Macaca fascicularis: one gene and its partners. The protein of the gene in region 1 purifies or fractionates together with the protein of each later gene. This does not show direct contact. Links are inferred from orthologs where the notes say so. Each region holds a gene or a part of one and is shown on either strand. Other genes may lie near its edges. The genes, in order: ARMC8, TCEAL9, HTRA2, MAEA, RMND5B and ZMYND19.

Region 1 (4,130 bases):
AGGAGAATCTCTTGAACTGAGGAGGCGGAGGTTGCAGTGAGCCAAGATAGTGCCACTGCACTACAGTCTGGGCAACAAGAGCAAAACTCCATCTCAAAAAACAAAAAAGAAGATAAAGAAGAAAATAAAGAATCTCAACTCTGAAGCTGAATATAAACTTGGGCCTTTAGGCAAAACAAACTCAATAAAGAAAAGAAACCGAGGAGCAGCTGTGCAGAGTTCTTTAGGAAAATTAATGTAGACATTGGGCTTGCACTGAGGGGGTAAGACACTAGAGACAGTAAAAATAACTAAAAGGACGCTGTGGTAGTGCAGGCACAAAACAACAAGGTCCTGAATGAGGGTGGTCATGGGAACAGAAAGATACGAGAAACACTAAGAATAAAGAAGCAACAGAGCTTAACAACTGATAGATATAGGGGGATGAAAGAAGGAAGAACCAGAGATTATTCAGGAGGTTTAACAGTGACTCATCAGTAAAAGATAATACCATTAACAGAAATTGGGAAGTCATAACTAATTCCCCTTAGGAGAAGGAATGTGCTTTGCTGGAAGCGATGGGTGTCATCCACACACAATTTAAGATACAAGACTAGATGTATAAGAAAGTCAAGGTTGGCAATGTAGATGTGTGAACTGATCAGTTAAGGTTATAAGAAAATCAATGAGATCTCCCAAGGAGAAGGTATAAAGAGACTCAAATGGAAATCCTTTAAAACAACTTGAAGGCCTCCTTGCTGAAATTATGTTTATCAAGTTACACCATCATTCAGACTAGGAGCTCCTTAAACACATTTCTGATCTCATCCTTGCATTCTCTAAGGTATACAATGCAGAGCTTGTACATAACTGGTACATTGTAGCTTATTAAAGGAATCAACCATTCAAGATAATTTCTGATGAATACTTCCTGTTCTAGTTTGCGTTTCAAAACGTGGTGCTCTGGGTAGTACTTTGAAAGGTACAGGTTTTACTTTAAATTAGTAAAATCAGTGAATTTAAACATTTTAAATCATTTACCCAAAAGCTCCTACTTCCCCCCCCCAAAAAAAAGCCCCTAATTAGACTAGGGCTAAAGGCAAATTGTAAATAGAAGTATTGATAGAAAATACTCTTCAAGAAGTTTTTGAATAAGCAGAAAACATTATTTACCAAGGAAGTGAAACAAATGAAAACTTTAAATCATATGCATCACACAAGTTGACAACATCCAAAAAGTAAGCTTCAGGTGAACTGAAGAATAAATGAAACCTAAATGCATAATTAAAGGGGAACTGAGAACAGCCAAGACACACACTTTTTTTATTTTTATTTTTTAACATAATGAGGTAAAAGTCATTGGCCTGCACTCCCACAAAATATTCCTGGGTATTACAGTCAGTGATGGAGTAACAGGCTAATCTGATATAATACTTAGGTAAACGGTATTTCCTTAGTTGCAGTTTAAAAATAAGAAAAAACGACTGCTAAAATGGATCGGGGGAAAAATCTGTTGACAGGCTCACAAAATTAAATTATTATTGTATTGACAACTTAAGCCTTTTCAAGGTTGAGGTCTGCCACACCGCTCTAACCCTGAATCATAAGCAAATGTCCTAGCTGCTTTCAGATAGGTGTTTGTGGGACAAGTCAGAGAAGAGAAAAGAAACCGGTTGTAGTTACAAGACTCTAGGAACCCGACAAGTCATTTATAATCCAACGACCCTCTCAGTATCAGACGGGCTTCCACAAGTCTAAAAGATGGTCAATTAGTATGTGCCTGCTTGTTTCCAACAATAGCAAATGAACCATTGGTAAACTGACCATTCTCAGAGTCGGACAGCTCGAATTTGTTGCAAAATCCTTCGAAGTTATCTCCCAGTAACTTTCATTCCTGGTCCTGGTTCAAGAGCAACATAGTGAAAGGTGAAAGTCGTCTTTTTCTTTAAAAAAAACTTTTTTTAAAAAAAAACAAAACAGGTTTTACTTCCTCGCATGTCAATACGTTCCCTTCTTTCAACAATGGGGAAATCTCTCCCCCTTTTCCCCCCTTCAATGTTTGACTCCCCTTAAAGAAAAACGGAATACCAGGCACAGGGAACATAGAGTTCCTTTGACTCAGAGCCGCGACCTCTGAGCAGAGCGGAGGAAAGGGGCTTAAATAACCACACACACTAGGAAGAGTCGCAGCTGATACGAATCACCATTGCCAAAAAGCAAACAGCTTCAGCCGGTGCCCAGGTGCTGGGACGCAATAGAAGTCGCACAGACTTGGCCTGGCAGCTCTGAGGAAATGGGGGCCAAGGAGCCTGCACCTCTTCTTGCCAAAGCCCGGGAGAGCTGAGTGAGCTTTCGTTCCCAGGCCGGCTGCAAGCCTGGCGCTTCACAAGGCAGAGCGCTCGGCCCCCGGGAAGCGGCATCTCTAAGAGGAAGGCTCAGTGAAACGCTTGGCAAAGTCCAAGCCGCGCCGCCGGGCCAGTTGTCTGTAAGCCCAGCTACCCCGCCTGCCAGACGCCATCCTGGAAACCCGCACCGGCAGGAGCTCCCGGAGTTGGAAATGTCTTTGGCTCGGCCGGGGTCCCCTCTGCCCGTCTATCCCGCCTGTCCACCCTCGCTCACTCCCTGGCCCAAGACTGAGCCGGGGACCACCCCAGGGGGTGGTGCCCAGGAGGCACACCACGCTTGGGGGAATGGTGGAGACCGGGATGGGGCTCCCTGGAGGGCGGGCGGGCGGCCGCAGCGGGTCACTCACCGAAAGGACGCTCATGCGGATTGGGGTCTCTAACAGGCACGCCATCTTGAGCCTTCCCACCCGGCTGCTGCAGGCGCCGGCGCGGGGGCCGGCACTTTCGACAGCCAACTATTGGCCAACGCTAGTCATCGCTCCTTAAAGACAGCCGGATAGACGAGAACTGGTCACGCTCTGGACACCGCTCAAGTACCAGAAAGGCCCGCAGAAAGAAGGGCAAAAGGGAATCGCGTCAGGGGCTGTCCTACGAATCGTTCTCTCAGAAACAGCAGCTACTCTGAGCCTGGTTTAGAGGTGGGAGCGGGCAGCGGTTTCCGCATGCGCAAAGAAGATCTGCCGGCCCCACCTGCCGCTCGCGGTGGGCGGGGCCCTAGAGGCGGAGTCTCGCCCTGGCGCTACGAGCTCTACCGACTGATAAATTGCAGTTTGTGGGTTCCCGTATTCATATTTGGAAAAAGTAGTACGTGGAGCCATATACATAGTTTGAAGTTCACTTTCATATTCATTCTCTCTCTCTCTGCACCAAACTCCCGGCGTCGTTATCTCCATTTTATAGGTGGGGAAATTGCGATCCCAGAACCTTTGTCAACCATAAGAGTGATTGTTTCACGATCCAGTACAGAAGTGTGACTTGCCTTAGGTTGTGTGTCGGCCCCGTTTATTCTGGTGTAGTGTTGAGAATAGCCAGAATGCTTGAGCTTCTTCCCAGCTACTTCTCAGCTGCTTTACCCTGGGTAAGTTATCTAACCTTATGTTTTGAGTTTCCTCATCTGTAAAATAAAGGTTAATGAGGATAAAGGAGTCAACAAATGTGAAGCGCTAAGAAAAAACCTAAAACATGGAAAGCGTTATACATATGTGTTAATGTTTCTCCAGCTTCTGAGTTAAGTGGGGAAAATGGGGGCAAATATCTAAATATTTCACACTAAAACACTCTGATAACCGAAGCCAAATAAAAGTATGCTTTTAATTATAGTTGATTAATTCAGCTGTCCTACTACTTTGTGTGTGTGTGTGTGTGTGTGTGCGTGCGTGCGCGCGCGCGCAACACTGCCCTTGACTTGGTTGGACAAGTTTCACCTTCGTACTGCTTGCAACCAGTAAGGTTTTCACAGTAGGGTTGCAATTAGCCTATTAACATTACTTGTATTCCTTCCATTTCTATAGCCACACCCTAATTCAGGCTCTTGTAACCTCTCCCCTGGACTAGAGCAAAAGCCTTCCAACTGGTCTTGTAGCTGATAGCCTCTCCCTCACTTTGCTCTTCACTGTTTTCCTGTCTTCCTCCTGTACTTGGTTTCCAAATTTAGAATAGCATTTATCACCCCTGTTTATGGGTCTGTGTTCCTTAACAAACTGTTGAGTTCCTGGAAGGCAGGAATTTTATTTTAGGTAGTCCTTC
Region 2 (3,640 bases), on another chromosome or scaffold:
TCATTTTTATTTTCAATAGATCTCAATTCGATGAGCATATGCTATTATTCCCTTCTGTCAGATGAGGAAACTCAGGCTCACAATGTGTACCTGACAATTGATTAACTGATGATTCTTCAGGCAGCACAGCTTCCTGGTAACACCACCATGAGGACTCTGGAATCAAACATTACTCTTTTTAAAAAAATTTTGAATCATCTTCCTCACAAATGTGTAATATAACAACAGCTTTCACTTTAAAAGCACTTACTATATGCCGGGCACTATTCTAAGCACTGTACATATATTAACTCATGTCATTAAAGTAATTTTGTCTTTGTATTTTCTGACTATAAAAAGATAAAAGTTGCCCAATTCAGTGGCTCAGGCCTGTAATTCCAGCCCTTTGGGAGGTTGAGGCAGGAGGATCACTTGACCCCAGGAGTTGGAGACCAGCTTGGGGAACATAGACCTTGTCTCTACAAAAAAATTAAAAGACTAGCTGGGCATAGTGGCACACACCTGTAGTCCCAGATACTTGGGAGTCTGAGGCGAGAGGATCGCTCGCGTTAAGGAGTTTGAGGCTGCGGTGAGCTGTGATTGCGCCACTGCAACCCAGCCTGGGCAACAGAGTGAGACTCTGTCTCAAAAAAAAAAAAAAAAAGAAAGAAAGAAGAAAGAAAAAAGAGAGAGAAAGATTAAAGTTACCTTTAAAAAAAGAATATAGAAGTATGAAGAATAAACAGTAAAAATTGCATTAAAACATCTCACTCTTGTTCCAGGGTCTTTTGTTGTTGTTTCACAACTGCTGCCAAGCCCACCCTGCTCCACAACAGCTAAGAACCAGATTGCAGAGGAAATGGAGGCTAGGGGAGGGCGACTGATGGAGGAGTTATCCTGGGAGCGGAAGACTGGAAGAGACAATTCTCGAAAGAAGTAGAAAAGTTCAATAGCTCCACAAAAAGAGGTAGCCCCTCCCTAGTAATCAGAGTCAAGCAAATAACATTTTTCCCTCCGGGATAGGAAACAACAGAAAAGACTGACAGGGCCAAATGTGTAAGTGGGGGGCGGGGAGGGAGCAGAGGGTGGGCCCACTTCTGCCGCGCTTTTGGTGGGAGTGGAAATTAGGGACCCGAGCTCACTGGTGACGTAGATCTCATGTGACCAGGAGTCGACGTGTGCAGAAGTCCTGGTAGTCTGGTCCTTGTTCCCGTCTGGATACCAGCTTCCTTCAGCAGTGCAGGCGGTGGTCCCTGAGGCTAGTGGAAGGAGTGAAACTTGCGGGAATTTTGCAGGTTGGTGTCAATGTAGGTGTTGACTGGGGATTTCTAGGGTGGGGGGGCTTAAGGCAGAGACTTGTGGGAGTGCCAGTCAGGTCCGTCTCTCCACCCTCCACCTCCAGGTCTACAGGAACTGATGACCCTTGGGAAAGGGACTAGGGGTCCTAGGAGAAGAACAAGTAGACCTGTGATAGTTTAAAAATAATCGTCCTCTGCTATCTAATCCTGCTTTCTGGACCCCCACCCTCCTCCCGAACCCGCCTCAGTCTTAAAGATAGTTTGGAAATAATCTGCTTTCTCACTCTTTGTTTGATGGGAAAAACGAAGTGACTTGCATGCACTGTGGATAGGGGGTGAACTGGAGGAAACAAAAGGTGGGAAACTTTCCATATTCGAAACCCTAAAGGAGGAAAGCTACGTGTGTCAGTCTCTGGCGCTGGTCGGCCCACCAAGCGCTCGCCCCACCCCCACCGTCCCCTCCCGTTTCCCGTTTGTCTGCAGGTCTGTTGTTTCTAGCAAGACCCAAAGCTAGAAAAGGAGGAGGAAGAAACTGACCCGATCAGTGCCAGGTAGGTGAGAGGAATATTATAAAGTCTCCTGGGGTGGAGACAAAGGTTGTAAGCTCCACTGTTCCTGCCGGCTCCCTTCCACCCCACCCCTTTCCCCTCTTCTTTTCTCTCCCCCTTCTCCTTTCCCCTCTTCCTCTGCCTGCCAGCCAGCCACCTTTCTCTTTTCTGGCCTGGTCCCTGTGTTAGGCCCTATGGGGGAAAAAGGATTGGGGAGGGCTGGGAGGCGGAAAGAAGGGCCTTGGAAAAGGTTAGAGGGAAGGACAGGAGAAGTGAGGAGGTGGAAAGTGGAGGTAAGAGGAGTGGGGATAGTGAAGCTCTGATTGCTGACTGGGCTTCTTAGTGGAAGATATTTTATAACAGTCTGAATAAAAAAAAATTAAATGCTGAGACCTCTGTCCACAACACCTGTCCACTCACCAAGTCTTTAACTTACTGTCTTCTTTTTGCTTTCTAGAAGTTATTGTATTCCAAGAAGAATAAGCAAAAAAATAAAAGAAGGAAGGAAGGAAGGAAGAGAGGTAGAGATACAAGATGAAATCCTGTCAAAAAATTGAAGGAAAACCAGAAAATGAGAGTGAACCAAAGCATGAGGAAGAGCCAAAGCCTGAGGAAAAGCCAGAGGAGGAGGAGGAGAAGCTAGAGGAGGAGGCCAAAGCAAAAGGAACTTTTAGAGAAAGGCTGATTCAATCTCTCCAGGAGTTTAAAGAAGATATACACAACAGGCATTTAAGCAATGAAGATATGTTTAGAGAAGTGGATGAAATAGACGAGATAAGGAGAGTCAGAAACAAACTTATAGTGATGCGTTGGAAGGTTAATCGAAACCACCCTTACCCCTATTTAATGTAGTTTACCTTGATTTTTATCTGACATTAACAATACCATATAGCTTGCTTTTTATTAGCATTTCCTGATATTCCTTTGTCCATATTTCTACTTATAACCTGTTGCTATTAATGGTTTTAGATGTATCTCTTGTTATCTGCATCTCATTGTTTATTGTATTTTGAACCAATCTACAAGTCTCTGTCTTTTAATAAAAGAACTTTACTCATTTGTAAAAAAGAGGTTCTTGGTAGGATATAAAATGGAAAAAAGGCTAAGTAATATGTGAATATCATATTTTTGAAAGGTAAAAAGTACATTTGTATATTACATATATGGACATAACTTGTGAAGGATGAAAGAAAGTATAGCCTCTCGGTGGTGGGATTATGAATGATTTTTCTCCTTTTGCTTATTTGTATTTTCTATATTCCTAAAATTAACACACATTATTATTGCTAGAATAATAAAAGCTTTATAACAAAAAGAAGCAACAAGCAGCACTTACTAGTTTATTTCAAAACGTATTGGGGCATTTAATATTTGTTGACAGAATTTTAGAAGCAAATGTGAACTTCAAAGCAACTCCAGACCACTTAGCTAGAATAATAAATTTTACATATTTTCTCATCTTTAAAATAAAGAAAATAATCTCACAAGGATCTGGTGCGGGCCAAATAAGGTAATGACTGTGAGCTATGTTTGACAGAGTTTTGTTCCCATTCCCAACTCCATAAGAGATTAATTTCAGGGATTTGGAAGGGTGGAGAAAGTAGTTCTTATCTGTGATTAAGAACAAACCCAAGGCTGGGTGGCTCACACCTCTAATCCCAACACTTTGGGAGGCTGAGGTGGGCGGATCACGAGGTCAGGAGATTGAGACCATCCTGGCTAACATGGTGAAACCTCATCTCTACTAAAAATACAAAAAATGAGCCAGGCACGGTGGCGGGCGCCTGTAGTCGCAGCTACTTGGGAGACTGAGGC
Region 3 (4,051 bases), on another chromosome or scaffold:
AGAAGGAGTACAAAGCCTAGTTCAAGGACACATGCACACCTCACCCATCCCCATATCACACTGCAGCCTCTCCCTCACCGGTGTGCAGGGGAGCCCAGGATGACTTTATGGATGAGTACACCATGCTGAACATCAGGAAAGCTTGGTTCTCGAAGCTGTAGTTCAGCAAGGATGCTGAAAGTACACAGATCACCCTATTAGCCAAACCCAGGCATTCTCCCCATCCTGAGTTCCACCTCAAGTCTCTCATCAACACATTGGCAAATAGATGGACAGGACATGCGCTAGGTACTACAAAATACAACGGCAACTCACTTTCTGTCTTCTAGCAATAAAGTGCAACATGTACATAAAAGATGTACACCACATGAGGGCACCAAATGACAAACAGTATGAAATCAATAGCACTAATGTCATTCTAGAGTACTAAAAGAAGCTTTAAGGGGAAAAAACTTAAGCTGAGCCTAAAAGGATGGGTCCAATATTAACCATATAAAACAAGAACAGCATAAATAAAAAACATGGGAGTAGGAAATCAGGTTGGCTGAGTATTCATATAGGAAGGTATTACAGCCAGGTCTAGAAAGTTGATTTACAGACAGATGGAAAATGCCCTTAAATGCCAAGTTAATGGATTGAAGGCTTGAAATCAAAGCAGTAACAGGATGAAATCAGTCTGACAGGTGTACAAAGTGGAGTGGAATAAGAAAGTCAAGATGATGAAGGGAGACAGCTCTTGTGATTATTTCAAGTGTGACACAGTTCATTTTAGATAAAGACAGAAATGAGAACAAAGCTCAATAGAGGTGCCCACCTCTGATTACACTGGTCACATTACATGTCACTATCCCTAAAGCTCATACCTGGGACTCAGGGTCAGCATCATCACCCCAATGTAGCGCCGCTGGGACCCACTGATTCCAGAGGAGGAATCTGTGACAGAGGGACAAATAAGCCCCACCCAGCTACATCCTTCCTTCCCTGCCCTCTTCTCCCAATAGACCACCCTCCAGGAAGTCCCAATGAATGCCCCTCCCGTATTTCCCCATAAGCCAGGCTCACTCTTCTTTTCCCCACGATGCAGAAACTCTCGAAGGCGATCAGAAGGGATGGCAAAGGAGATTCCAGCTGTGACCTTCATGGTGTTCACTCCAATCACCTCTCCATCCTGCAGGGATACATCCCCCAGTTCCCTAGCCCAAACAAATAGTAGGGGATGGGGGCACCCGAACAAAAGTAGCAGCAAGTGTTGGGGAGATCCAGTTGGATGTTGAGAGATAGCCAACAAAGAACTGCTCAGAAACTTGACCAAACATCCTTGAATTAGGGAAAACCTACCCTTCCCACACAGACCTGGGGCTGGGATTCTTGGAAGGAAGGATGTCTCACTCACCAGGTTAACCAGGGGACCTCCAGAGTTCCCAAACTGCAGGACAAGGAGAAAACATGAAAGAGATCTGAGGATTCTAAGTCTGGGGGCATACCAGGATGTAGGTACTTTCTCCAAATTCTCTTCTTTCTCAGCCCATGAATGAGTGGCCACATTTTTGCAGCCTAAGCTCTGTATATAGGCTCATCCACCATATATCAGTTGGTGCTTGTACCACACAGCCTCTCCCCACTCCCCCATCATGTGTCATTTCTCTCCTATCAGGACGCACATCAATAGCTGCATCCGTCTGAATGTATTCCACATTGGTTTGGGGGAGTCCCAGGTCTCTGGCTGGACGCTGAGCAGAGCTAACAATGCCGGATGTGATCGTGTTCTGCAGTGCAAAGGGACTTCCCATGGCAACAACAAACTCCCCTTGCCGGACATCAGCTGAGCGTCCCAGAGGCAGCGTGGGGAGAGGCTCCTAAGGGAGAATGGGTATAAGAGACCTGTCATCTGGAGATGCGAGCAAACAAGCAGCTCCAACCAGACCTGGCCTACCCCAGCCCCCACCTTAGTCTGAATCCTCAGCGTTGCGATGTCTGCCACGGGATCCACAGCTGTGACCACGGCCTCATACGTGTCGCCGCTAAGCAGTCTCACACGGACTCTGCGCCGATCAGCCACCACATGGGCGTTGGTGACAATGAGCCCATCGGCAGCCACCACGAATCCTGAGCCGTTCGAGATAGGGACTTCACGGCCCAAGAAAGGGTGCCTGGAATGGAGGGAAAGCACGGATATGAGGAGGCCCTGACCCCTCCTACCTGCCCGCCCTCCGGCCCGTGGCTTCAGTGCCTCCCGGTCTACCCCCATTACCGGTCCAGGATCTCGATATAGACCACGGCAGGTGCTGTCTTCTCCACCACATCTGCGATGAAGTTGTACTGACTCCGGGGAGAAGCGGGCGGCGGGCCAGGGACGGCGGCGAGGACGGCCGGAGGACCCCGACCCCCGCCCCACAACAACAACAGCACTGCCCCCCCAGCGCCCAGTGCCACAGCCAGCCACGCGCGCGAACGGGTTCCAGAGTTCTCTGAGGCCTCCCGGGTCCTGGTATCTGGGGTCACCGCAGTCAGTTGTGCCCGGGGACCCGGGGTCCCAGACGTCAGACATGCTCGGGGTTCAGGGACCCCAACACACAACCGGGCCCAGAGACTGGGGGTCCCATAAGTCACTCGGGCCCGGGGGTCAGAAGTTCCTGACGTCAGCAGGGCCCGGAGGTCAGGGGTCAACCGGGGTCTCCTCCCCCAGCGAATGCCCCCCAAAGCCCGCCATGCCCGAAGGCTCCAGCCTGCACCCCGCCCCGCCCTCGGCGCAGCCATCAGCTCCGCCTCGGCTGCCTCCTCGCCCGCCCTACTCAGAGGCGGCACCCGGGACGCGAGCAGGCGGACAGTAGGACGCGGGGCACGCCGGTACCTGAAGTCCTCCAGAAGTGCACGTCGGGACCAGGATTCCGGGAGGCCGACTCCTCCCCGTCCCGCGAATGCCGGGAATTGTGGTCTCCGTGGGACGCGAGTTGTGAGACGGCCCAAGGGGCCGCAGGGTATGCTGGGACCGCTAGCCCTTCCGGCGCGCCTCAAGACTTCGGGTCCTGTCACCCCGGGCGGATGCCCAAAGACTCCGCCTTCCCAGGAGCCCCTGCGGCCGGGCGCGAAGATGGCGGCGGCGACGGCTGGGCGCTCCTGAAGCAGCAGTTATGGAGCTTCCCTCAGGGCCGGGGCCGGAGCGGCTCTTTGACTCGCACCGGTAAGAGACCCGGCGGGAAGAGACCTACCCCTGCGTCCTCTCGGCCTTCGGCGCCCGACCACTTCGCCTCTCGCCCCCAGGCTCCCGGGTGACTGCTTCCTGCTGCTCGCGCTGCTGCTCTACGCGCCGGTCGGGTTCTGCCTCCTCGTCCTGCGCCTCTTTCTCGGGATTCACGTCTTCCTGGTCAGCTGCGCGCTGCCAGACAGCGTCCTTCGCAGGTTCTGACGCGGGCGTTTGGGGAGTGTCAAAGCTGGGCCTGGCCCGAGGCCACACAGTCACCACCGCCTGTGTCCCCAGGTTCGTAGTGCGGACCATGTGTGCGGTGCTGGGGCTCGTGGCCCGGCAGGAGGACTCCGGACTCCGGGATCACAGTGTCAGGGTCCTCATTTCCAACCACGTGACACCTTTCGACCACAACATAGTCAATTTGCTCACCACCTGTAGCACCGTGAGTGAGAGCGAGGCCGAGAGCGCCACGGGGCGGTTCCCTGGGGCCCAGCTGAAGGCCCCCCTGTCCCACTCGCGTTCCCCATGGAGGATACTGAGCCTTACCCCTAACCCCGATCCTCTACCCCACATGTCATTTTTTTTCATTTTCCTCAATTTTTTTCTTCTTGCTTTCTCTTCTCCTGGTTCCCAGCCTCTACTTAATAGTCCCCCCAGCTTTGTGTGCTGGTCTCGGGGCTTCATGGAGATGGATGGGCGGGGGGAGTTGGTGGAGTCACTCAAGAGATTCTGTGCTTCCACGAGGCTTCCCCCCACTCCTCTGCTGCTATTCCCTGAGGAAGAGGCCACCAATGGCCGGGAGGGGCTCCTGCGCTTCAGGTGGGTTTAGCACAGGTATCGGGTGCCAACTGGGTAGGTGGTCAA
Region 4 (3,500 bases), on another chromosome or scaffold:
TGCCAACTGACAATCTGGGAAGCTTAGACTCCACCCCCGAAGATCCTCTTGACCTAATGATGGTTTATTACGAGATGTCCCAAACGCCTGAGATCCAGGAGAATTCAGGCTGAGAAAGCTTCCAGCAGCTTTCAGAAGGCAGCAGGTCTAGGTCTGCCCAGGGCTTTGCAGTCCCTACAGGGTGGTGGGTGGGGGCTGCTGGGAAACACCCCTGCCTCTGACAGAGACCGGCGCCAGGCTCAAAGAACAAACTGTCAACTCCAGGAGGTTTCATCCGCTTCCCCCTTTTCCAGGAACTGAAACTGTTCCCAGCGTTGATGAGCACAGGGGTGGGCATGGGGGTGAGCACACGGTGGGCATGGGGTGGTTGCAAGGGTGGGTACACAGTGGGCACAGGGGTGGGTGCAGGGGTGGGCACACGGTGGGCATGCGGGTGGGTGCAGGGGTGGGTACACAGTGGGCACGGCGGTGGGTGCAGGGGTGGGCACACGGGCATGGGGGTGGGTGCAGGGGTGGGTACACAGTGGGCATGGGAGTGGGTGCAGGGGTGAGCACACGGGCATGTGAGTGGGTGCAGGGGTGGGTACACAGTGGGCACAGAGGTGGGTGCAGGGGTGGGCACACGGGCATGTGAGGGGGTGCAGGGGTGGGTACACAGTGGGCACAGAGGTGGGTGCAGGGGTGGGCACACAGCACGGGGTGGGTGCAGGGGTGGGCACACGGTGGGGGCAGGGTGGGTGCAGGGGTGGGCATGGGTGCAGAGCGGAGCCACTCACCCGGGAGCAGCTGGCTGCTGGGTTGGGTCCAGGTCTGAGCACAGGGTGCTGGTTAGTGATGGCAGAACCCCCACCCCTACCCCAGTGACCACGGAGACTTGGAGGCTCCAATATGTACAGGTAAAATACAAAACGTCGCACGAGGACCATGGAAACCACAGAAGATGGTGCAGCCTAACACCTGACTCGGGCTGCAGACAAAGGAGAACCAGGGAACAGGGCAAGGAAGCTGGGCCCCGGCTGAACACGCCAGGCTTAAAAGCTTCCTGAATCTTTCTCATTCAACTTTTTTTTTGGAGACAGGGTCCCGCTCTGTCACCCAGGCTGGAGTGCAGTGGCACAATCTCGGCTCACTGCAGCCTCAACCTTCTGGGCTCAAGTTATCCTCCCACCTCAGCCTCCTGGGTAGCTGGACTACAGGCAGGTGCTACCATGCCCAGCTAATTTACAAAAAAATTTTTTTTGTAGAGACGGGGTGTCACTATGTTGCCCAGGCTGGTCCCAAACTCCTGGGCTCAAGTGATCCTCCCACCTCAGCCTCCCAAAGTGCTGGGATTCCAGGGGTGAGCCGCCACACACAGCCCTGATTCAAAATTCTTACGAGCAAAATGGGAATTGAACAAGAAAAGCCTGTCTTGGCAGGCTGGACAGGCCGTGTGGCTGGGACAGGGCCCTCACGTCCTGCCCCGTGTATGGCAGCAGTTACAGACCAGAGACACACCTTGCATCCCCACCCCATCACGACACCGACCCGCGGACGCAGGTCCTACCTTGTACGGGGAGATGTGCGTGTCGGGCGGGAAGGCCAGCATGCCCATGGCCTGGCGCACCTCGTCCAGCTGGCTCCCTTCTGCTTGGCTGAAGTGCTTTCTCGCGTGTCTAAAAAACAACATTTTGGCACATGTAAGTTTGCGTTTTTATTTTAATTTTTAGAGACAGGGTCTTACTCTGTCACCCAGGCTGGAGTGCAGTGGCACAGTCACAGCTCACTGTAGTCTCGAACTCCCGGGCTCAGGCGATCCTCCCAGGAAGCTGAGACCGCAGATGTGCGGCACCACGCCCAGCTAATGTAAAAAACGTCTTATTAGAGACAGAGTCTCGCTGTGTTGCCCAGGCTGGTCTCCAGCTCCTGGGCTCAAGCCATCTTCGTGCCCCAGCCTCCCAAAGTGCTGGGATTATAGGCATGACCCACTGTACCCGGCCTGCATTCTTAAGTTGAAAAATCTGAGCTAACAGCGTTTATGTCAGAGTCTAGGTACAAAGTAATCGCCTCACTCCAAGCCGACCTGCTGAGTGGGGCTGGGATGGCAGGAGGTGCAGCTCACCTGAGGCTGGAGAAGCAGCTACCAGACACTCCTTCCCCCAGGGACAGGGCACCCAAGCCACACACACAACCCACGGAAAACACCAGAACTGCAAATGGCACCTGCCCCTCAGGCCTCTCCAAAGCGATTCTGGTTTACAAGGAACCCAAACCTTAAGGACTCCCACTGACCCTGGATGCTTGCCTCCGTGGCCCCTATGGCCCCAGTGGACCCAGCGGACCAAGAATGTGTAGTCTGCTCGACTGCAGTCCTTGCTGTTCGGCAGTGACACCCAGCACAACCTTCCAAAGAACAGCCTCCCTCAGCCCACAGGCTGGACTCCCTGCAGATCCGGCCCAGCCCTCTCAGCCCTGAGCCTGCCACACACCACATGCAGCCACAATGTTTCCTGAGCCAACTCTGCAAGATGCACACAGGCCCGCTCCAGGACAGAACCCCACTCCAGTCTGTGGCTAGACAACTAAGAAACCAAAGCAGAACACGACAGGCCCCTTTCGAGCTGATCAAGAGGGCACCTGCTCACCCCAAGGGCCCCCATTCCATGCCCCCCCACACACACAGGGTCACCGTCCCTCTGGCTGTCCTGAGGACCTGCACCCCCATGTCCCGACCCTCACATGGGCCCCTGTGCACCCCACGTCCTCAGCCCTCAAGGCCCCTCCCCCAAAGCGACCCCAATGCACAGAACCTCAAGTCCCACGTATGAGTCAGCCCTGTGCTGTCCAGAACAAGGCATGTACCCAGGAACACGGGGCTGAGGAGGTGCTGGGTGCTCACGGTGGCCTCGGAGAAGAGGCAGTGACTGGCAGAGACTGGAGTTAGCGCAGGAGGTGCCCCCGCAGCCCCTTGATGGATGGCACGGTGACCATGTGGTGGAGGCACCACGAGGGGAGCCTGGGGCAGCAGGGAGCGGGGGGTGCCCAGGCTTGGGACCCAGCCTGGAGAGTCCACACGGCCAACCCCGCAGGACATATGCAGGGACTGGGAGTCGGGGGTGAGTCCACACGGTCGACCCCGCAGGGTGCATGTACAGGGGCTGGGGATGGCCATCCGAGATTCCAGTGCCTGTGCATCTCCCTCCTGGAGTGTGTGGGGGGGTGTGTCTGAGTCCACGAAGAGCCCCACCCAACCCCCTCATTCCATCTCTGGAGACAAGTCACCCTTCGTCCTACGCCAAGACGTGCCCAGAACACGGCCCACCAGGGCTGTTTCATTCAACGGGCATCTCACCTCCTCCCAGAGCTGCTGAAGAGGGAATTTAATCTCTGTGGTTGTATCTATGAGATCTCATTTGCGTGACCTGGTTTACGCATCTTATCTCACTATCAATCAAACCCCAGACGGGTGAGGCCAGACTTCCCTGACCAGGCCCTGGCACCTGGAGACCCACTCCCAAGAC
Region 5 (3,500 bases), on another chromosome or scaffold:
GCCTCCAGCTGCTTCTCCGGGCCTCCTGCCAGGAGGCGGATGAAGTGCAGTCGGTGCAGCTTGAACTCCAGGGAGCTGTTGAGTTCCAGCAGGCGCTGCCTGTGGGAGACGGCCCATCTGGGAAGAAAGGGGCCAGTTTAGTGTAGAGCTGGTGGGGGCTAGGACCTGAGAGCCAGGACCTGAGAGGAGGGCCCCAAAAGCCTGTGTGAGGCTCTTGAGACAGGGCTGGAGGCAAGTCAAGTACATCTGGGTGAACTGAAGACCGCAGTCAAGCCCTGTGCCCTGAGAGGTCGGAGAGCAGAGTGCTGCTGGCCCACCCAAGGGCCTCCTTACTCCAGCGCAGGACCGAGGTCTTGTTCGTGCAGGGCTTCTAGGATTCGATTCAACTCTAGGAAAGGCTGCTTGAAATCCAAGTCCACGTTCAGCGTTGATTCCTACAAGGAGAGAGAGAAGAGATCCCACCACTGCAAGATGGTGTTTCCAAAGTTCTCTGCTGTGCACATAATAAAAGCTCACCCGCCAAAGACAGGCCAGAGAGAGCTGGGCTTTGCTTGAGGAGCTTGGTCTCGTGCCAGCCACTTGGGCCTCTCTTGTTCCCATCTCGATCCTGGGGAGGCTGAGTAGACATGCTGACCTCCAGAGTGCGGACTGCAAACCCCACCCTACAACCGTAGCAGTGGAGACAGTCCCCAGGCTACACACGGAGTTGCATGGCGAGAAAATTATTCCTCTTCAATCCTCCTAGTACAGTAGGGAAAATCTTTACTTTTACCACCAGTGTGTCTTTAACACCTAACAAGTACTACTTTGTCATTTCACTCATCCATCTCCCTTTTCAATAAAGGGATATGAGGCCTCAGCTCTGAACCCTGGCTGGCAACCAACTCTAACTAGAAATGAGTAACTTCTCTTTTCATCATATACGTTTTTAAAGCTACCTTCTACTTCTGGCAGAGGCGCTGATTTCCTTTAGGAAATAAACGGAATTGAAGAATGGCAGGGACTTCATATACTGAAAACTAGCAGGTGAAAGGCAGAGCAGGCAGGTTGTCAGCACCTGCCCGGCCCGGCTGTACCTGGCACAGCTCCTCGGCCACGCTGAGCATGCCCTGCTGGTACAGGTGTTCCACGATGGCCATCTGCAGGATCTGCTGCTGCTGTTCCCGCGCGTCCCACACCGCATCTGACACAACACCACAGATCTCAGAGTCGAAGTTCTGACAAAGGAGGAGAGACAGGGCCTGGTGATGTGGGCACTCTTGCTGGCTCTCCTTCGAGTCCTTGTACATCCCAGCTTCAGGGTACTCCCAGCCCAGGCCTGGAGCCAGCCATGTGCTCACCCTGTCAATGGCTTTGCCCACTCGGGATACACTGCTGTGAATGTCCTTATGGTCCGAAGCCAGTTTCTGCACAGTATCTTTGATCTTCCGGCAGCATTGTGACATCACCAGAGAGAGGGTGGCTGAGAGAGGGGTCCCCTGGAGGGCTGCAGAGAAAGTGGAATAAGGACACAGAGGAGGCAGACTGGGGCACCTGCCTTGGCAGCAGACCTTAGCTCTGCCTCCTCTATTCTAAATGCCAGCCCCGTGGCCCAGGAGGCAGCCCTAAATGCCAGGGTGAAAGAACTAGCTTCTCTTCCAGGTCCTGCCACTTTTTAACTGTCTGACTTGGAACTGGTCAAATGGGAAAAGCCAGTTCACCTCTGGAAGCCTTCATTTCCTCATCTGTAAAATTATAGTGAAATGAAGATGATTTGGCACTTACTATGGGCCGAGTGTTTATTTTAACTCACGCACTACAGCATGCATAGGGTTCTGTTTAACTGTGAAGTTAAACATAGGGTTACCATAGGATCCAGCAATTCCACTCCTAAGTATACACCAAAATAAATAAAAACATATGTCCACACAAACACTTGTAAGTGAATATTCATAGCAGTGATATTTATAATAGCCCAAAGGTGGAAACAACCCAAATGTCCATCAATCAGTGGAAGAATATGGCACATCCATACAATGGACTGTCATTCAGCCATAGAAAGGAATGAAGTGCTGATACAGGCTACAACATAGATAAGCCTTGAAAAGGTCACATTAATCAAAGAAGCCAGACACAAAAGGCTACATGTGATATGATTCCTTTTATATGAACTGTCCAAAATAGGCAGATCTATAGAGACAAAAAAGAGATTAGTGGTTGCCAGAGGCTAGGGAGAGGGAGGAATGGAGAGATAGTTAATGGGTTAGGTTTCTTCTGGGGGTGATGAAAATGTTCTGAAATTAGATAGTGGTGAAGATTGTACAATTCTGTAAATATGCTGAAAACCACTGAGTTGTACTTTATTTTTTAAATTTTCATCTATGTATGTATGTATTTATTTATTTTAAGACCGGGTTATGAGACTGGCTAATACTTGTATTTTTGGTAGACGGAGTTACCATGTTACCCAGACTGGTCTCGAACTCCTGGACTCAAGTGATCTACCTGCCTCAGCTTCCCAAAGTGCCGGGACTACAGACATGAGCCACCATGCCCATCCAGAGTTGTACTTTATTTATTTATTTGGATACAGAGTCTTGCTCTGTCGTTCAGGCTGGAGTGCAGTCCAGCCTTGGCGCAATCTTGGCTCACTGCAACCTCTACCTCTCGAGTTCAAGAGATTCTCCTGCCTCAGCCTCTCGAGTAGCTGGGATTACAGGTATGCGACACCACGCCCAGCTAATTTTTGTATTTTTAGTAGAGACAGGGTTTCATCATGTTGGCCAGGCTGGTCTCAAACTCCTGACCTCAGGTGATCCACCTGCCTTAGCCTCCCAAAGTGCTGCGATTACAGGCATGAGCCACTGCACCCGGCCAGAGTTGTACTTTAAAAGAGTGAGTTTAATGGTAAGTGAATTGTAGCTCAGTTTTTAAAAAAGACATAGGAACCAGGGACTCCCGCTGGTCAGACCTAAGACAATTTGAACATTACATTAAATAACCGTAATGGATTATAACCTATTGAATACAATAAGAATATGAGTGTAAAGTGATAATAATGAAAGGAGAAAGGAAAGCTTTACAGTTGAATGCCAACTAATAAATGTATAAAGAATGACAAAGCAGGAAAAATCACCATGTTGCAGACAGCTTAGTAATAATTCACACAACAATCATTAATGGATAGTAAAACGAGTAGAGGCTGAAATTTGGTAAAGAGCAGGACATTTATAGGGTATCAAAGTATCTCCCACATACCACTGGTTGTGTTTTTTTTTTTTTTTTTTTGAGACAGTCTCGTTCTGTCACCCATGCTGGAGTGCGGTGGTGCAATCTTGGCTCACTGCAACCTCTGCCTCCTGGGTTCAAGCGATTCTCATGCCTCAGCCTCCCAAGTAGCTGGGACTACAGGCATGTGCCACCATGCCTGGCTAATTGGTTTTGCCATGTTGACCAGGCTGGTCTTGACCTCCTGGGCTCGAGTGATCTGCCCGCCTCAGCCTCCCAAAGTGCTAGGATTA
Region 6 (3,500 bases), on another chromosome or scaffold:
ACGAGGTCAGGAGATCGAGACCATCCTGGCTAACATGGTGAAACCCCATCTCTACTAAAAAATGCAAAAAACTAGCCGGGCGAGGTGGCGGGCGCCTGTAGTCCCAGTTACTCGGGAGGCTGAGGCAGGAGAATGGCGTAAACCCGGGAGGCGGAGCTTGCAGTGAGCTGAGATCCGGCCACTGCACTCCAGCCTGGGTGACAGAGCGAGACTCCGTCTCAAAAAAAAAAAAAAAAAAAAAAAAAAAAAAAAAAAAAAAAAAAAAAAAAAAAAAAAGAGTGCTGCGGCAGGAGGATTTCCTGAAGCCAGGAGTTTGAGACCAGCCTGGGCAACACAGTGAGACCCATCTGTAAAATTAATTAATTACATTAAATAAACAGAGCAGGGAACAAAACCACTAGCCCAACAAGAACGAGAGACACCGCAGGCTCTGCCTTCATCCTGAGAGGCCCAGTGAGGAGGGGATGGGGGAGACTTGCAGGACTCCCTCCAGGGTGGCAGGAACAGCAGTTTGGGGGTGGCATTTTGGAGACCTGGGGACTGTCCCCACATCACCAACCAGTGTCTCAGGTGCTCCCACTGTTTCCACCTCGGCTGCACGGGGCTCTAGCATGACCCTGAGGTGACAACTGCAAAGATTCTACCCACAGCCACCAACCATCACCAAGCCCAAAACACTAAACCTTACCAGCGTTGCTGATAACCATCTGCTAGGGCAGTTCGCACTGCTTGCACCAGGAAAGGCTGCCCAGAGGCTTGAGGACATGCCCAGAAGCCCCAGCGCGACTGGGGAACATGTCAGCGAAGCGTGTGTGGCTGGGGACTCTCTGGCTCATCTGGGTTCCCAACCCCCATCCTGCTGGTCCCTCGGCTCTTCCCAAGGGCTCCATGAAGTTCACAGCCTGGCTGATTCTAGGGCCAGCAGGAACTGCCCTCCCACGTGGGAAGCCCATGCAAAGCACCGCTTTCAGGATCACAGGCAAGTGGGGGGCCAAGGGCTGAGCCCTGAACCACACATTCTCTGCTTTAAACTTTTGCTTAACGAAAACTGTTTAGCAAAAGAACACAACAAAAAGACCCATCTGTGTGCACAGAAAGGAATCCTGAGATGAGGAGAGAAGGGAGGAATCCTGAGGTGAGCAGAGAAGGAAGGAATCCCGAGGTGAGGAGAGAAGGAAGGAATCCTGAGGTGAGGAGAGAAGGAAGGAATCCTGAGGTGAGCAGAGAAGGGAGGATTCCTGAGGTGAGCAGAGAAGGAAGGAATCCTGAGGTGAGGAGAGAAGGAAGGAATCCTGAGGTGAGGAGAGAAGGAAGGAATCCTGAGGTGAGGAGAGAAGGGAAGAATCCTGAGGTGAGAAGGAAGGAATTCTGAGGTGAGGAGAGAAGGGAGGAATCCTGGGGTGAGAAGGAAGGAATTCTGAGGTGAGGAGAGAAGGGAGGAATCCTGGGGTGAGGAGAGAAGGGAGGAATCCTGAGGTGAGGAGAGAAGGGAGGAATCCTGAGGTGAGGAGAGAAGGGAGGAATCCTGAGGTGAGGAGAGAGGAATCCTGAGATGAGGAGAGAAGAATCCTGAGGTGAGGAGAGAAGGGAGGAATCCTGGGGTGAGGAGAGAAGGGAGGAATCTTGGGGTGAGGAGAGAAGGGAGGAATCCTGAGGTGAGGAAAGAAGGGAGGAATCCTGGGGTGAGGAGAGAGGAATCCTGAGTTGAGAAGAGAATCCTGAGGTGAGGAGAGAAGAATCCTGAGGTGAGGAGAGAAGGGAAGAATCCTGAGGTGAGGAGAGAAGGGAAGAATCCTGAGGTGAAGAGAGAAGGGAAGAATCCTGAGGTGAGGAGAGAAGGGAGGAATCCTGAGGTGAGGAGAGAAGGGAGGAATCCTGAGGTGAGGAGAGAAGGGAGGAATATTGGGGTGATGAGAGAAGGGAGGAATCCTGAGGTGAGGAGAGAAGGGAGGAATATTGGGGTGAGGAGAGAAGGGAGGAATCCTGAGGTGAGGAGAGAAGGGAGGAATCCTGGGGTGAGGAGAGAGGAATCCTGAGTTGAGAAGAGAATCCTGAGGTGAGGAGAGAAGAATCCTGAGGTGAGGAGAGAAGGGAGGAATCTTGGGGTGAGGAGAGAGGAATCCTGAGTTGAGAAGAGAATCCTGAGGTGAGGAGAGAAGAATCCTGAGGTGAGGAGAGAAGGGAGGAATCCTGGGGTGAGAAGGGAGGAATCCTGAGTTGAGTAGAGAAGAATCCTGAGGTGAGGAGAGAAGGGAGGAATCTTAGGGTGAGGAGAGAAGGGAGGAATCCTGAGGTGAGAAGGCTGATGCCTCCCGGGGTGTGGGGCACAAGCCCTGCTCACACCGAGTCCCAGCGCGGGCCCTGCCCTGGAGCAGGCAGCCCTTCTCCCCGCTTTGTCATGCCAGCTAAAGGGAGGTTCCCAGAGCCAATTATCAGAAGAGCAATGCAAAAACACATACCAAGATCCTTCACGCTCCCATAAAGAAAAGGAGGATTCCACACTTTGGGGAAAAACAATGAAAGTCCCAAAACACACAGAAGCATCAGGGCTCAGAGGAGGAACACGAGACCCTCTTGGAAACAAGAGCTTTGGAGGTGGCCCTCCTCAAAAGGCACCTCTGCCAGCATCACCGGGCCCTGAGAAGACCCACCTCTGTTTGCTGGAGGTCTCTTCAGCCTTGGGCCGCCAGCCCCACGGCACCAGCTGCAGGTTGTCCAGGCGATTGTCCACAGTCACAGCGTTGAGGTGTACCACCTGGAAGCCCGGGGCCACGCCCCCCCGGTGCCGCTCCCTACAAACAGACAGCAAACCCTGCATCTAACCCTGCATCGCTGCCTCCCACCCTCACAGATAACCAAAGTCCTCCAGGAAGAAACGTCAGCCATGTGATGTGATCAGGCCCCTACCCCTCTGGAGGAGGGTACCTCAGGCGGAAGCTGCCAAGAGAAACCCAAGCACCTGATCTGTGGCCCAAACAGGACAGGGATACAGGGAGGACCTGGGCCCTGGACTTCGGAGCACAGACAGCCAAGGGTGGAACGTAAAACCACCTGAGCAGATGGCCTGGAGACAGCTCCCCATCTGAGTGGTCCCCACCATGCACACCAGGGGGCTCAGCAAAAAACCAGCAAGGGGAGCAACCACCGTCCCTGCAGAGGCCACCAGTCCTGGGCAAGCTTCCAGCAGAAAGTCCACTTGGTGTTTGAAGCGTAACATACAAATCATTCATTCCTTTGAGTTAGTGGCAAAGCACACAAAAATAACTGCGAGATTCAGGGAAGGCAAGGCAGGGCCTCAGTGGGGCAGGGGGCTCCAGGCGCCCTGTGCCATCGGAGCTCACCCAGGAGCCCAGTGGCAGGGGGCAGAGGCAGCTTGGAAACACCCACCACAGCAGTTCATGAAGGAGTCTCCCAGAGCCCCTTCCTCGGTTCTTGTCAAAGGCATAGGCAAATATCTTAGCACCATTTCCATCTGCATCCACTTCCATTCGGGCCTGAGA

The links.
Region 2: the proteins of ARMC8 (region 1) and TCEAL9 purify together in Homo sapiens (affinity purification with mass spectrometry; 3 studies listed by BioGRID and IntAct, with this or other methods). This does not show direct contact. The link is inferred for Macaca fascicularis from reciprocal best matches to the Homo sapiens genes ARMC8 and TCEAL9.
Region 3: the proteins of ARMC8 (region 1) and HTRA2 purify together in Homo sapiens (affinity purification with mass spectrometry; 5 studies listed by BioGRID and IntAct, with this or other methods). This does not show direct contact. The link is inferred for Macaca fascicularis from reciprocal best matches to the Homo sapiens genes ARMC8 and HTRA2.
Region 4: the proteins of ARMC8 (region 1) and MAEA purify together in Homo sapiens (affinity purification with mass spectrometry; 5 studies listed by BioGRID and IntAct, with this or other methods). This does not show direct contact. The link is inferred for Macaca fascicularis from reciprocal best matches to the Homo sapiens genes ARMC8 and MAEA.
Region 5: the proteins of ARMC8 (region 1) and RMND5B purify together in Homo sapiens (affinity purification with mass spectrometry; 4 studies listed by BioGRID and IntAct, with this or other methods). This does not show direct contact. The link is inferred for Macaca fascicularis from reciprocal best matches to the Homo sapiens genes ARMC8 and RMND5B.
Region 6: the proteins of ARMC8 (region 1) and ZMYND19 purify together in Homo sapiens (affinity purification with mass spectrometry; 4 studies listed by BioGRID and IntAct, with this or other methods). This does not show direct contact. The link is inferred for Macaca fascicularis from reciprocal best matches to the Homo sapiens genes ARMC8 and ZMYND19.

What each region holds. Positions count from the first base shown.
Region 1 is NC_088376.1:41,022,409-41,026,538, reverse strand, and holds the start of ARMC8 (armadillo repeat-containing protein 8), read right to left. Parts: upstream 2,801-4,130; 5' UTR 2,777-2,800; coding exon 2,732-2,776; intron 1,935-2,731; exon of another isoform or gene 1,807-1,934; coding exon of another isoform or gene 1,804-1,806; intron 1-1,803. UniProt on the Homo sapiens protein: Component of the CTLH E3 ubiquitin-protein ligase complex that selectively accepts ubiquitin from UBE2H and mediates ubiquitination and subsequent proteasomal degradation of the transcription factor HBP1.
Region 2 is NC_088395.1:109,735,736-109,739,375, forward strand, and holds TCEAL9 (transcription elongation factor A protein-like 9), read left to right. Parts: upstream 1-1,145; 5' UTR 1,146-1,274; intron 1,275-1,760; exon of another isoform or gene 1,761-1,828; intron 1,829-2,282; 5' UTR 2,283-2,359; coding exon 2,360-2,677; 3' UTR 2,678-3,140; downstream 3,141-3,640. UniProt on the Homo sapiens protein: May be involved in transcriptional regulation.
Region 3 is NC_088387.1:47,414,458-47,418,508, forward strand, and holds the start of HTRA2 (serine protease HTRA2, mitochondrial), read right to left. Parts: upstream 2,801-4,051; 5' UTR 2,758-2,800; coding exon 2,252-2,757; intron 2,151-2,251; coding exon 1,946-2,150; intron 1,857-1,945; coding exon 1,662-1,856; intron 1,427-1,661; coding exon 1,394-1,426; intron 1,169-1,393; coding exon 1,063-1,168; intron 934-1,062; coding exon 864-933; intron 175-863; coding exon 79-174; intron 1-78. Other genes in the region: lipid droplet-regulating VLDL assembly factor AUP1, read left to right, coding at 3,132-3,181, 3,262-3,399, 3,479-4,006.
Region 4 is NC_088379.1:1,447,686-1,451,185, reverse strand, and holds part of MAEA (E3 ubiquitin-protein transferase MAEA), read right to left. Parts: intron 1,656-3,500; coding exon 1,547-1,655; intron 1-1,546.
Region 5 is NC_088380.1:184,918,431-184,921,930, reverse strand, and holds part of RMND5B (E3 ubiquitin-protein transferase RMND5B), read right to left. Parts: intron 1,487-3,500; coding exon 1,341-1,486; intron 1,218-1,340; coding exon 1,077-1,217; exon of another isoform or gene 601-1,076; coding exon of another isoform or gene 517-600; intron 435-516; coding exon 334-434; intron 118-333; coding exon 1-117. UniProt on the Homo sapiens protein: Core component of the CTLH E3 ubiquitin-protein ligase complex that selectively accepts ubiquitin from UBE2H and mediates ubiquitination and subsequent proteasomal degradation of the transcription factor HBP1.
Region 6 is NC_088389.1:1,728,941-1,732,440, reverse strand, and holds part of ZMYND19 (zinc finger MYND domain-containing protein 19), read right to left. Parts: intron 3,495-3,500; coding exon 3,388-3,494; intron 2,793-3,387; coding exon 2,652-2,792; intron 1-2,651. UniProt on the Homo sapiens protein: May be involved as a regulatory molecule in GPR24/MCH-R1 signaling.